Linked DNA regions of Stegostoma tigrinum. The protein of the gene in region 2 binds, or shares a complex with, the protein of the main gene of each other region. Links are inferred from orthologs where the notes say so. Each region holds a gene or a part of one and is shown on either strand. Other genes may lie near its edges.

Region 1 (7,143 bases), on a different chromosome or scaffold from region 2:
TTTAGCATGTCTTTTTTTAAAAAAAAGATAAAAATCTGGCAACAGTTACACGCGGCTCTTTTTACGTAAACATTACAGTAAAATCCGATGATTCTCATAGGCAACACTCTTTGGAATTCACTGATTATAAACAACACAAAAACATTTGTCCTTGCACTGGCCATCGTTGTAAGGCTCTCTCAAACTCCCAACCACTTCTGACTTTGCAGAAAGCTAAATTTAAGGTCAAGGGCAGGCTGTCCTCTCCAGTCAGTTCGGGATAGCAGCCAGGATCAGTACAAAAAGCTCGATGCCACTTCCTCACACTCCCAGTCAACTGTTGGAATTACCCGCATCCCTTCAAAAGCTTCGCGGGGGGGGGGGGGAGTGGGAAACTCCTCTTTTTACTCAAACCGTGTACCCGCTCCTTCCCCAATCTCACACTCAACGGCAAAACAGAGCACCGTCCAAACCGACCCGAACACACCCACTGACCATCCCTCTGGGTCCAGGTTATCTCCTTTGCAACAAAGGACACTGAGTTATACTGGTGTCATCAGTTACAATTTGAACAAAATTATCCCCTTTCAGTTCAGAGGAGCGTGGTTAATGCACCATTGTTTTAAAAAAAAGGGAAATTTAAACAAAGTTTGCATCCACCCCGACCGTACATCCAGTGTGCTGACCACCCAGCCAAACGTTACTTTATGGACGAGGGGGAAATCTGGTTCCTCAGGAGAGAACCACACAACAGATCACCCGAGCGTTATCAAAGGGGAATCTGCCCTCGTTATCAAAACAAAAGTTCACTGAAAGTCAGTTGTAAGATGCAAAGTTAGCGATGTATTAAAATAAGGTAGGGTTTGGAGTATATGATACTCCCATTACCACTAATCGTCCTAATTACCTCAACGTGGAAAATTGCCCTTTCATCTCGGTAATAGGACAGGTTTAACAGCAGATATTTGTCCTCACCCTCTGTTGCAATGTTATCTAGCAAAGAATCGAGTTTACTTTACGGCCATCGTGATGAAGGTAGTTTTGTAGAGAACAGCTCACACTGCCTTCTCCCAGAAACCGAGCCCGAGTTCTGCTACACGTGTGACAGCCACTACACTTCCTTCCACTGGATGGAAAGCTGTCACAGGTTTCTGAGAGGCGCGATGCAGCTCTAACCTTCAGCACGCGAGAAAGGAAAAGAAAATCGTTGCTAAACTCGGATGAATACCGGATTGGCTTTAACGAGGAGCGAGGAGTGTCTGGAAAATGCCCGATCCTCATGAAGGAGTTCAGGTAATTGTCAGACAGGGAGGGGAAGAGGGGAATGTACAAATCGATCTGATCATCTCTCTCTCACACACACACACACACAATCTCAATGACCACCCCTACATCAAACATACTGACGGACATATTGCACAAATGCTTGGCTAACGCTCCTTCATTCTTAAATAAATCCATGTATTCTTCACCCTATCCTTGGCAAACGGTTCCCTCTGCAGTGATTAACACGTTCACAGGCTCTTCCCGGTTTCCCCTTTTCCCATTTAACAGCACAACACTGGTCCAATTGAATAGCACTCACCTGCCTTATTCCCGCAATCGCTTTTCACCCCGTATCACCCACCTTGGTTACAATCACGATATTCCAACAAACGTGAAGTGGGAAGTGTTCAATGACCGGGTAACGGCGTCCACAGTCGAACTGTTCGGTGAACGGGGAGCCCACTGAAGTGAGCAGAAACGTGTCTGGGAAGGGACTTAGCGGGGGCTGTACCATCAGCATTCACAAACTGAACAGGGACAACCGATAACACAGCGCCGCTCGCCTCAGACAGCGTGCAAGCCCCTGGGGTGAACATACAAGTCCGCGAGTAGGAGAACACTCCCCCTCCCCAACAACAACCCCCCCCCTCCCCGCCTCACACTGGGTGTGTAAGTACACGCTGTAAACACATTGAGCAGGTGAAAGGGAACGTGGATAGCTACAATCCTTTTCCGCATAGGGTCCGTGCTCTTGCAAACCGCGGTTTTTTAGTTTTATTGGGAGGAGGATACGGGGTGGGGGGGGGGCGGGGTTGGTTAGAAAGCTTCCATTCCGCATTTTTACCCCCCCCCCCCTTCCTCCTCAAATATGCTTCCCCCAAGATTGATCTGAGCCGCCTCCAGGGTCTCTCTGCTGCGGCACGAGGGGCGGTCAGAGATTTGTACCTGTAACTAACCCGGGGAAATCCCACATCTTAGACAGAGTGAGATAAAACAGTCATCCAGGAGATAGACGGAGGCATGGAGCTCAGGTATCTGCAGCCAGGATACTGTCGCTTCAGGAAGCCTGCCGTAGCCCCCATGCACATGCACACACACACATACGTCGCGGCTCTTAAATATCGGGGGAAGTATGTGACAGTCAGTAGCCAATCTCCTGCAGTGGGAAGCTGAGAGTGTATTTGTGGATGGCAGAGAGAGAGAGAGAGAGGGAAAGCACACTGAGCCCACAATGCCACCTGCAGAAAGGTACTCGCAACAAACGGCTGACACCACACAAATACCTCATTCCTCACAACAAATACCTCTGTAACAGCAAGATTGAAGGGGGCGGGCAGGAGGAACCAAATATACCTTACCAAGAGACTACCGTCTGCATTGCTCACATCTCGGTGAATCCGACCGCGTTACATTTTCGGTGTGTGTGTGTGTTTTGTTTCAGAACTGACGGGGTGTGGGTTGTTTAATATTATTATTCCATTAGTTGCAAATGAGCTTGAAGCCGACACTATTGGAGAAGCCAAACTTCCTGTTACAGGGCTGTAACAGTTCACTCTGCGCTGGCTGCCTGGTTTGCTTTCGCAGACCGCCGCAGTGACACACACACACACACACACACACACACACACACACACACACTGCCAAGCCGCTGAGACATCGCTACTGAATGCAGGGCAACACTTCAGAAATATTCCGCTTCCCCCACACCCCCATAACAGAAACATTGAGAAAAACCTTTTCTTTTTGGTCTTCGCCTACTTAAAGCAGGTCCGAGTGAAGGCAGGAAACGAAGGGAGAGTGTCATCAGCTCTCTTGTAGCCTCCTCAGTGATCCACTCGGCAGTACCATTCTAACACTTGAACACTTCAGTGCATTTTGGAAGAGGTGGGGGAGAGGAGAGAGTGTAATCGAGGCTTCCCCCAGGGTCTCTGGCCAGGTAGCGGTTTCGCCCTTCAAACCACCCCCAAACCCGCCCCCCCTCCCGTACCCACTGCTCCGTCTGCCTGCCTTCCAGTAGCTGGAACAGCGGCAGCAACAGCAATGCCAGTGTAACGTAGGGAGCGGACCGTCTTTGGACTGGTGTTGCTGGCTCAGGGTCATGCACCGAAGATGGGCGGGGGGGTGGGGACAGCTGGGAATCAATTGCAGACTCCAACTTTGTGTAGAATATGTAAAAGCCCAGTGTACAAGTGTGGAACCTATTTGCATTTAGCCACTGCCAAGGGCGCAGTGAGCAAGTAGTGTTTACCTACTTTCAGTCTATCAATGCTGTTGTCACACGACAGTGACGTACCGTTCCCACTAGCTATTCTGCTAATTGTGCTATTTCCAACTCTGCTTCACAGTGGAAAAAAAGGTGATTTTTTTCAGAAATAGTATCTGCAATTATGAATTACCCAGTGACTAGCATTTGCACATCATAGCGCTCGCAATTCTTTGTTTAACAACGAATGACCCGAGACTGTGGGCTTTAAGATCCGGCGACTTCCTACATCGATTTTTTTCGAAATAAACTTTCTGGACCACTCACTCTTAATCCCGTTTCCCGTGAGAGAAAATCACCCATCACTGCACGATGGGCCGAAGGAGCTGTAAAGACCTAGGGCTTTATGAGGCCATCATGACTATCTCTTTAAAGAATCAACAACGAGATCCTCAAGGCATGCTATTACGTTCGATTTTTTTCTGGGAAGTTAACCCTTCTTCCAGGAAGAATAAAGCCATGGATTGAGACAGAACCAAAGGAAGACATTCGGCCCATTGTGCTATGCTGGCCGTTTGGAACTGTCCCAATGCCCGTCTCTCCATGCAAGAGAAAAAGCCTTTAGAGTATTAAATATGTGAGTCAAATTACTGATTGATGCTGATAAATCACAGACTACATATCTCAATATTAATGGGTACTGGCACACTTGAAGATACAGTTAGAAGGAGGGGGAAAGTCCCTGTTTTCAGGGCTGAGAGACGCCCAGTCCCAGTGATTCAGTGTTGATCTCCAACACCGCCGGTTCCGCTGTCCTTGCACGGTCACCAAACCGTTTGAGCTCTCAACTTAAGACAGCCCTACACATTGGGAGAAAGAGACGGGCGTCTTGGGCACTTGGAACAACTTGCGCGCGTGTCAACCTTCTGAGACTCCCCAAACTTTAAAACAGCGTTTCTTCCATCGCTAAATTCCACGTTCGCTCCCTGCCAACATGTTTTAAGGAACTCCCCCGGAAAAAAAATGCGTTGCGGAAAAACACGTGTGAGGAAACGCAGCGATTGCATTGGAGATAATGCAGCGTTTGTATGGAAGAACGCGACAGACTGTGTCTGTTTGTGAGAGGGGTAAAGGCTGTCTCGCTGAATTCCTGCATTGCAACGACACCTAGAGGCAATATGTAGCTTGCAACCTCAGCAGAAAAGGGTGCTCCTTTGGAGGGGGCCAAGGGAAATTCACTCATTCGTGTCTGTCACTTCCGAGCGACCTGTCGACACTGGGGAAAGGCTAACACAGAAATGGCTCGACCGATAAAAAAAAAGGGTCCAGCTCTCCAGCCCTGCTGAAGATAGCGGCCAACCCTCACAGCCAACGTAGTCATTCCTGACATCCTGCCCTTGCACCAGGCAGGGAAGGGTCTAATAGAGTTGAACCAGCAAAACATCACGGCGCAGGGTAAAGCGGACACATAACACATGTTGGGGAATGATATTTGATCCGCTCCTCGTGTTTAATTGACACCTGTGCACTATGAGGCCAATGAAAATCTTGAATAAAACGACAGCGTCACTTTTCAAAGAGGCGCAGCAACACAAAACGTTAGAGTATCAAATGCGAGCGTGCAACTCGAACTCGCTTTATCCCTGCAGACGTCTGTAAGCGTTCACAGAACGGAAAGACAAATATTTCCCAACACAGGACACTCGGCGAGCGTGGTAGAACTGCACTAGATTCGCCATTGTGACAGAATGAATTGAACGGGTTGTTGGAATCTGCATCAGCCAAACTTCACGCTTGTATCCCGGCATTCAGTCAAGTATTCATTTTCCACGTCGGGAATGAACAGTTGTTCCCTCCAAAGGTCCCTGGAGATCTGGATAATATCCAGGCTTGATTCCATGATCTGCTGAGTCTCACCAGCAATTTGTTTTTGTTCCGATATCCAGGCGCGAGCTGACGAGTGGCAAGTAACGTTTGCGCCTCACAAATGCCAGGCTATGACCATTTCCAACAGGACACAATCTAATCACTACCCCTTGACATTCTGTAGTGCTGTCATCACTGAATTCCCCACTACCAAAATCACAGAGGTTATCATTGAACAGAAACTCAGCTGGACTTGCCTCATAAACGCAGCAGCTACAAGTCCATCCGGCCTGAATAAAAATCCAGATCCGAAACGTTGACTTTCCTGCTCCTCCAATGCTGTCTGACCTGCTCTGTTTCTCCGGCTCCACACTTTATCAAGCTACAAGAGCAGGTCAGAGGCTAAAAATGCTGCAGTGAGTAACTCACCTCCTGACTTTCCCAAAACCTGATCACCAACTTATAAGGCAGAAATCAAGAGTGTGATGAAATATTCCCTACTTGCCTGGATGAGTGCAGCTCCAAAAACACTCAAGAAGTTTCACACTATCAAGAACACAGCAGTCTGCTTGATTAGCATCATAACCACAATCATCCACTCCCTCTACCACCAACATCAGTATTAGCAGCATGTACCATCTACAAGATGCACTGGAAGAAATTGACCAAAGATCCTTAGACAGCACTTTCCAAATCCAGAGATGATGGGAACTGCAGATGCTGGAGAATCCAAGATAACAAAGTGTGAAGCTGGATGAACACAGCAGGCCAAGCAGCATCTCAGGAGCACAGAAGCTGATGTTTCAGGCCAAGACCCTTCATCCTTTTTTACCCGGTTCTAGCAGTTTCAAGGCCGAAGAGATTACAAGAGAGTTGCAGTGGGAGAGAGATTCCCTGAGGTTGGTCCGGACGGAGGATGGTAACTTCTTCAGGTTAGGCATCCCTGGAAGAGGCTTCGCAGTGAGGTTAAAATTGTGATCAGAGGTAATAGGAACTGCAGATGCTGGAGAATCCAAGATAACAAAGTGTGGAGCTGGCTGAACACAGCAGGCCAAACAGCATCTCAGGAGCACAAAAGCTGACGTTTTGGGCCTAGACCCTTCATCCCAAATCCAAATCCAAATCCGGGTCTATTTCCACCTAGAAGGGCAAGGACAGCAGATACATGGGAACAGCACCATATGCAAGTTCCCCTCCAAGCCACACATCATTCTGACTTGGAAATATATTGCCGTTCCTTCAAAATATCTGGGTCAAAATCCTGAAATTCCCTCCCAAAGGGCATCATGGGTCTCCCTACAGCCAGCGACACCCACGACCAATGAATGAACAAAGAAAACACGTGGAAAACATTACCGGGGGAAAGTCCCGAGTTGGTTAAGAGTCAACTGTGTTCTGAACTGGAAGACACAGTTGACATGGATTAATAATATAACACTTTGAAGTTAGGTCATATTAGACTTGAAATTTACTTCTCTCTCCACAGATGCCACTATTTCTGCTGCAATTGCCTAGCACTTTCTGTTTTTAATTCAGATTTCCAGGTTCCACAGTATTTTTATTTTGTAATAATAATTTGGTTTGATTTATTTCTTTTGTATCTTTTGGGTTTTTGTTGTGTGTGCCCCATTAAAAGGGGGTTGCATTTTGAGAGCGAGTTGGGATTGAAGGATAGCATGAGAAGGTTGGAAAGTGATGTTGAGGTGTTAATTTGTCTTTTACATTTCCAGTTCTGACAAGCGTGTGTACATTTCCAGCATTTTCTGTTTGCAGTTCAGATTTTCAAGATTCACGGTTCTTTTTATCTCTGCTGTGCCACAGAATTAAAC
Region 2 (7,314 bases):
TACACACACCCACACAGATAGACACACACCCACACTGACATACACACACAGAAACACAGACACATGCACATAAACACAGACCCACTGATAGACATTGATAGACACACACATACCCATACACAGATAGATACACACATGCACACATACACACACCCACACTGACATACATACACATAAACACAGACCCACACAGACTGATAGACACACACATACCCATACACATCCACAGATATATACACATGCGCACACAGACACACACACACATATAGGCACACAGACGCGGACAGACACAAACCCAACCTACAGCCATACATACACACACCTACATAAACATATACACACCACGCTCACACATGGTGACACACTCACCCACACACAAACACAGCCCACACATACACATCGATTGGTGGGAGTCGGACAATGGGAGATTCCACCCTCTTCTCACTCGTCTTCAATCTCAAGGTGGGTGTAGAGGGGATTCACTAAAGGAACAGAGAGCTGGCCCGGGAGAAGTGGACATGAAATTCCTCCGGCATGGAGGAACAGTGCACAGATTGGTCAGCGTTCTGTTTGGAGAGTTCTCCCACTTGGAAAAGGGACCGAAAGACTGTGGTTTTAACATTCGCAACATCCCGTGCACGGCGCTAAACATTCCGCAGTCAAAGTTTGTTCTGAACAACACCGGGTTAGTCATGTCGTGGCATCACTTCAACTCCAGCCCGCTGTAGCTGGCTACCTGTCCTGCTCCCTCCCATCTCCACACTGACCCCCTCCCGTTTGACTGAGAAAGGACTGAGGCTTGTGGCCGGGCTACGCCGGGCTGCGGGAGAGAGCGGGAAGGAGGCGCAAAGCGGCTGGGGAAGCGCCGGGAGGGGGACGGGGAGATCCGCTTTGCTCGTTTATTGCTGCGGCCAGCAGGCTGTGTGTGTGTGTGTGTGTGTGTGAAAGAACCGCTTCGTGACCTGGTTCAGCGTGTCTGTGCAGATAAGAAGGAGCCGGGGTGTCTTCCTCATCTAGCTCACGGCTGTCAGTTCAGCCAAGATTCAAGCTGAAGAGGCGCCGGAGTGTAAGAGCTGGATATAAGATCTGACCCCTCACAGCTTTATTCAGCGACACACACATACACAAAGCAGCTCCAGAAATTCCCCCAAAAGCTCATTCTTATTTTCTGGACAAACATTAGTGCTCAAATCCTAACCTCTCCTGATCACTGCAGGGAGAGTTCGCGTTTATCTCGTCTTAAAAATAGCCTTAACATGCCGAGTCTCAGAACAGGAAGTGCTGGAGGAACGCAGGGAGCCAGAAATGAAATGTTCACCCCCTTTTGCAGCTCAGTGCAGCACACAGCAGTCAGTCGTCTCCAACACTTTTCTGGAGGTTTTGCTTTTGTTTTGTTACACGTTGTTCTGGTTTTCGTTTGGCCATCGCTCGCCTGGGCCCTGCCCGAAAAGAAACCGCTTTCCCGGCAACTGGTGGCAGCGTGAGGCGTGCTCCTGGGGAGGGAGTCACATGGACGGGAGCCCAGTGTGCCAGGCGCTGGGGAAAGCAGACCGAAAGATCTCAGTGAGCTCCCCTCTTAACTCGGGATGAGGGAGAGGACACTGACGGCGTGCTCACTGTCCGCGTCGCTCTCCCTGGGAAGGGGCAGTGTCTGAGAAAGTCACAACAGGTCTCAGAAAGTCATTCTTTGCCCCTAGTCCAGGCTCCTGCCTTCGACTGGGCAGCGTCGCCAGGCTGAGGGTACCTTCAGGTTCTGGCGTCTCCGGATAAACCTGCAAAATGCCACTTGCCTCCACACAGTCCCCCCGCCGCCCCCTCTCCCTGTGTGGGGAGACTTCAGCAGCCTGTTGTAAAACGAAACGAGGAGAAGCGAGCCCCTCCAGATCCTCGCAGTGTACGCTATACTGCGTGCGCCCTGCCGAGTGGACAGAGACCCTACCCATTTGCTGGTCTGTCCTCCCTTTAGTGGTTGTGGTATCGGGGCTCAGGGGGCCGAAACGACAGGGAAAAAGCGGCGCCGTTAATACTCACCGTTTCGGACCGCCCCGGACACACCGATGGCCACGGCCAGTAGGTAGAGGGAGAGTTGATGCTTCCCCATTTGGCAACTGGAGATTGCGAACGAAAACAGCGCGCACACACAGCGACAGGGAGAGAGAGAGAGAGAGGGAGGAAAGCCGAGAAGCGATAACAACAACGAAGGGCGCACTTGAGTTGAATTGGTTACTTTGGGAGAATCTGGGCGATCTGCAACCTCATCCTTTAGCTTCCTCTCGCCGCTTGCGGATACACGGTTCCTGTTGCAATGTCTGGCGTTGCCATTTCCTAAAAAAATCCCGAGCCAATAAAAGCTTTGCACAGACAACCCCCCCCCCCTTCCTTCCCTAACACACACACACACACACACACAGAGGGAGACTCCTCACTGCTGAGCAGATAGGAGAAGCAGCCAGCTGGGAGACAGAAATAAAAACTGTCTAGGAAATATTCTTAAAACAATTAAAAATGTCAAATCCACAAAGATCTGAAACTAGTTCGAGGCAGGAAAAAGAAGCGTTCACATGCTTATCTAATTATAAATGATGCAAGACTGGGTACTTAGCACCGCTAAAGGGAGAAATAAGACCAGCCAGACTTGTCCACACTCCTTCCCCACAGTCTCACAGTCCACCGCCTGAGACACCTCTATTAATGTATTCACAAAGGGAGAGGAAGATTGGCTGTCAGTATAATACAGCAGATCTACAAAGGGATACAGGGTGGGAGAGAGATACAGAAAGACACGGAGAGCTGGGAGATCAGCTCCAAGCCACGCCAAGTCACTGAAAACTCAAAGCGCCTCTCCTGGCCCAACTCAATTGCGAAATAGAAGTCAGACGCTACGGTTCCTTCAGCGGCATTTCTGTGACAGGCCAGCCAGCAAACAGAGAGAGAAAGGAACGCCCATGCTCCGGCAGGCGAACAAACTCTTTTTCAAAAATACTAATGATTTGGTCAATGAGTAAAGGGCGAAGCGCCTGCGGACTCCTCTCCACAGACACAAACAAACACACGCTTGCTCAGCGCCGCGCAACTGCTCCAGGTGATCAACACTTTCAGGGAGAAATACACTACACTGAAAAGGTCGGCAGACTCGGGCTGTTTTTCTTAAGGCAGTCTACGGAGGGAGGTCTGCCAAATGATTTGACTGCATGACTTGCAATTCCCTGTTATATGCAGCTGTAAAAAACAAAACGTTATTGTATTATGTGTCTCGTGAACACCATATACACACCATCAGCAAACACGCTTCACACGCACACAATAATAGTGTGCAAACTTCTCACACTAATACTCTGCACACTCAAGCACTGAATCACTGTGCAAACTTCTCACTGATACTCTGCACACTCAAACACTGAATTCCTGTGCAAACTTCTCACACTAATACTCTACACACTCAAGCACTGAATCACTGTGCAAACTTCACACTAATACTCTGCACACTCAAACACTGAATTCCTGTGCAAACTTCACACTAACACTGCACATTCACAGAATTCCTGTGCAAAATTTTCACACTAAGCTGTGCACACTCAAACACAGAATTCTTGTGCAAACTTTTTACACTAATTCTGTGCACATTCAAACACAAAATTCCTATGCAAATTTTTCACTAATTCTGTGCACATTCAAACACAGAATTCCAGTGCAAATGCTGTGTGCACGCTTCAGAAACGCCCTCATTTGATGCGCATAACAATTTTACCGTATACACTGAAACTGAATTTGTTTGGAGCAAAATCTCTGAAGCATTTGCTCTGGCTGGCAGCCTGTCATTGGTTCGGACGGAACTGTTTTACCTGCCCGGACTCAGGGAGACGAAACTCTTCCAGCTGAAGGGATGGGGCGAAAAGAACAGACATTTCTAAAAACAAAACTTCATTCACCCAGCTGGGAAGGCGAACCGGCTGCAGCAACAAGTGGCAGTCCCATCCCTCTTCGTGAAACTCCGGGCTTACATACCTACCTGAGGAGCAATTTTGTCGACAACAATAAAATGTGGCTGTAAAATAATTTCAAACGATTTCACATTCCCCAACATGCGAACCTGGCCAGATGCCGCGCCCACATATCCGAGCTTGTTGATGTGGGGATAAGGGAACCATCTCCCAAACGCGGCAGAACTTTCCGTACCGGCCAACAGGAGGCGCACGGCTTCAGCGCCAGATAATCTGAATCATGGGCGTCTCAGGCACGCATGTGGCTCACAGTCATTATGGTGGTCCCTCTCAGTCGTGCTCATTGTCAGACTGTCTTCCATGAACCATGTTTGGATGTATGTTGTCTGAAGGTGGGAAAAGTGCGCTACAAATGCCATTGACCATCCTTGATTGGCGAACTGTTCATTCTCAGCGCAGAAAGTTGTCATTGCCTCGGGCCATATTTAGTGGACATTTGTTAATTTCACACCTTGTCAATCATTTCTTGTCATCAAATGTCCAAAACGCATATTTTTTCACATCTTTTTATTTAAAACCACACAAATGCCTCCGGCATTTTCTCCCAGATCTTCCCTAGCACTCTTGCCGATCATACTGCTATGGAAACGGGCAAATTATTATGTCAGACATTTGGACATGGCGGAATCTTGTTGGAATACAGTTCCTCGAGCTGCTCCCAGGGTTTGGGATGGGTGACTGTTTGCCGAAGTGGTTCGGACCGTGTCACACCGAGAAAACAAAGATTCCTGCATAGTCGAAAGCTGAGCTTACTGTTCCCAGTTAAGGTAGCAGCAGAAGGAAGTGGGTACATTCGGCCTCGATATCTCTATCGTTGGCAGGACAAGATCAGTCAGAGCCTCCCGCTTTGGTCACTCTCTACCTATGCTTGCTGGAAAGCGTATACTTGCTGAGGTCCTACCTCGGCTATACATCCATCTTGTGGATGATACAGCTACACACCACAGGGCAGCTGAGGACAGGAGATGGGAGCACAGCGGTAACATCACATGACGAGCAACCTAATACCTAATCAAGCACTGTAGCGTCCACATCCCAGCATAGGAATTGGTGAAAATGTAAGATGATAACAGAGCAGGGAGGTTATGTAGGAGCCGTATAGGACTTTAAGATAATAAAATGTGAGGCTGGATGAACACAGCAGGCCCAGCAGCATCTCAGGAGCACAAAAGCTGACGTTTCAGGCCTCGACCCTTCATCAGAGAGGGGGATGGGGTGAGGGTTCTGGAATAAATAGGGAGAGAGGGGGAGGCGGACCGAAGATGGAGAGAAAAGAAGATAGGTGGAGAGGAGAGTATAGATGGGTAGGTAGTGAGGGGATAGGTCAGTCCAGGGAAGACGGACAGGTGAAGGAGGTGGGATGAGGTTAGTAGGTAGGAGATGGAGGTGCGACTTGGGGTGGGAGGAAGGGATGGGTGAGAGGAAGAACAGGTGAGGGAGGCAGAGACAGGCTGGACTGGTTTTGGGATGCAGTGGGTGGAGGGGAAGAGCTGGGCTGGTTGTGTGGTGCAGTGGGGGGAGGGGACGAGCGGGCTGGTTTTGGAATGCGGTGGGGGAAGGGGAGATTTTGAAGCTGGTGAAGTCCACATTGATACCATTGGGCTGCAGGGTTCCCAAGCAGAATATGAGTTGCTGTTCGGTGCAACCTTTGGGTAGCATCATTGTGGCACTGCAGGAGGCCCATGATGGACATGTCATCTAGAGAATGGGAGGGCGTGTGGAAATGGTTCGCGACTGGGAGGTGCAGTTGTATATTTCCGGAGAGACCACTCTCTCCGTGACTCCCTTGTTCGCTCCACACTGTCCTCCAACCCCACCACACCCGGCACCTTCCCCTGCAACCGCAGGAAATGCTACACTTGCCCCCACACCTCCTCCCTCACCCCTATCCCAGGCCCCAAGATGACTTTACACATTAAGCAGAGGTTCACCTGCACATCTGCCCATGTGGTATACTGTATCCATTGTACCCGGTGTGGCTTCCTCTACATTGGGGAAACCAAGCGGAGGCTTGGGGACCGCTTTGCAGAACACCTCCGCTCAGTTCGCAATAAACAACTGCACCTCCCAGTCACGAACCATTTCCACTCCCCCTCCCATTCTTTAGATGACGTGTCCATCATGGGCCTCTTGCAGTGCCACAATGATGCCACCCGAAGGTTGCAGGAACAGCAACTCATATTCCGCTAGGGAACCCTGCAGCCCAATGGTATCAATGTGGACTTCACCAGCTTCAAAATCTCCCCTTCCCCCACCGCATCCCAAAACCAGCCCAATTCGTCCCATCCCCCCACTGCACCACACAACCAGCCCAGCTCGTCCCCTCCACCCACTGCACCCCAAAATCAGTCTAGCCTGTCTCTGCCTCCCTAACTTGTTCTTCCTCTCACCCATCCCTTCCTCCCACCCCAAGCCGCACCTCCATTTCCTACCTACTAACCTCATCCCACCTCCTTGACCTGTCCGTCTTCCCTGGACTGACCTATCCCCTCCCTACCTCCCCACCTATACTGTCCTCTCTACCTGTCTTCTTTTCTCTCCATCTTCGGTCCGCCTCCCCCTCTTTCCCTATTTATTCCAGAACCCTCTCCCCATCCCCCTCTCTGATGAAGGGTCTAGGCCCGAAACGTCAGCTTTTGTGCTCCTGAGATGCTGCTTGGCCTGCTGTGTTCATCCAGCCTCACATTTTATTATCTTGGATTCTCCAGCATCTGCAGTTCCCATTATCACTGTATAGGACTTTAGCCAGGCCGTAGCTGGAGTAGTGAAGTAGATACACTAGGATGGAACAATTCAGCTTTGGAGAAAGGCTGGATTGCTTTTTTTGGAACAAAAGATATTGATGGGGAACCTGTTAGAGAACTATAGGGTTATGGGGGCATGGTCAGGGGACTAGACAGCAGATGTTCTCCTTAGTCGAAGGATCAATGACAAGAGCTTCATTTTAATGTGCAAGGCAGGAGGTTTCAAGAGCGGATTTGAGGAAAATCTATCTCACCCAGAGGGTGGTGAGAATCTGGAATACACTGCCGGCAGGCTCTTTGAGGTGGAAAACCTCACAATCTTTAAAAAGTATTTGAATGAACACTTGATCTGGCATAACATTCAAGGGTATGGGTTTTACATTTGTAAGCGAGACTAGTGTAGGTAGTAGTGTCTTTTTGGTGGTGCAGACCCAACGGGCCAAAGAGCCTGTTCTGTGCTGCATAATTCCATGACTCTACGAATGAGTTCTTGACTGAGCTTTGAGGATGTAAACAAGGCAAATAAAACCTGTCTTCACATGTCAGGATCTTCAAGAGGGAAGTCTTTG

Evidence for each region. Proteins that work in one complex are often made in the same cells at the same time.
Region 1: the proteins of nrp1a (region 2) and plxna4 are in contact, whole or in part, in a cryo-EM structure (PDB 7M0R), measured with the Mus musculus proteins. The link is inferred for Stegostoma tigrinum from reciprocal best matches to the Homo sapiens genes NRP1 and PLXNA4. Residues at the interface, in NP_032763.2 of Mus musculus: Arg80, Tyr84, Asp126, Tyr127, Glu128; in NP_786926.2 of Mus musculus: Glu272, Lys340, Lys343, Lys345, Leu349.

What each region holds. Positions count from the first base shown.
Region 1 is NC_081378.1:14,224,792-14,231,934, forward strand, and holds the start of plxna4 (plexin-A4), read right to left. Parts: upstream 3,109-7,143; 5' UTR 2,980-3,108; intron 2,677-2,979; exon of another isoform or gene 2,604-2,676; intron 2,347-2,603; exon of another isoform or gene 2,191-2,346; intron 1,756-2,190; exon of another isoform or gene 1,565-1,755; intron 1,273-1,564; exon of another isoform or gene 955-1,272; intron 1-954. UniProt on the Homo sapiens protein: Coreceptor for SEMA3A. Necessary for signaling by class 3 semaphorins and subsequent remodeling of the cytoskeleton. Plays a role in axon guidance in the developing nervous system. Class 3 semaphorins bind to a complex composed of a neuropilin and a plexin.
Region 2 is NC_081355.1:129,163,038-129,170,351, forward strand, and holds the start of nrp1a (neuropilin-1a), read right to left. Parts: upstream 3,164-7,314; 5' UTR 2,102-3,163; coding exon 2,032-2,101; intron 1-2,031. UniProt on the Homo sapiens protein: Cell-surface receptor involved in the development of the cardiovascular system, in angiogenesis, in the formation of certain neuronal circuits and in organogenesis outside the nervous system. Mediates the chemorepulsant activity of semaphorins.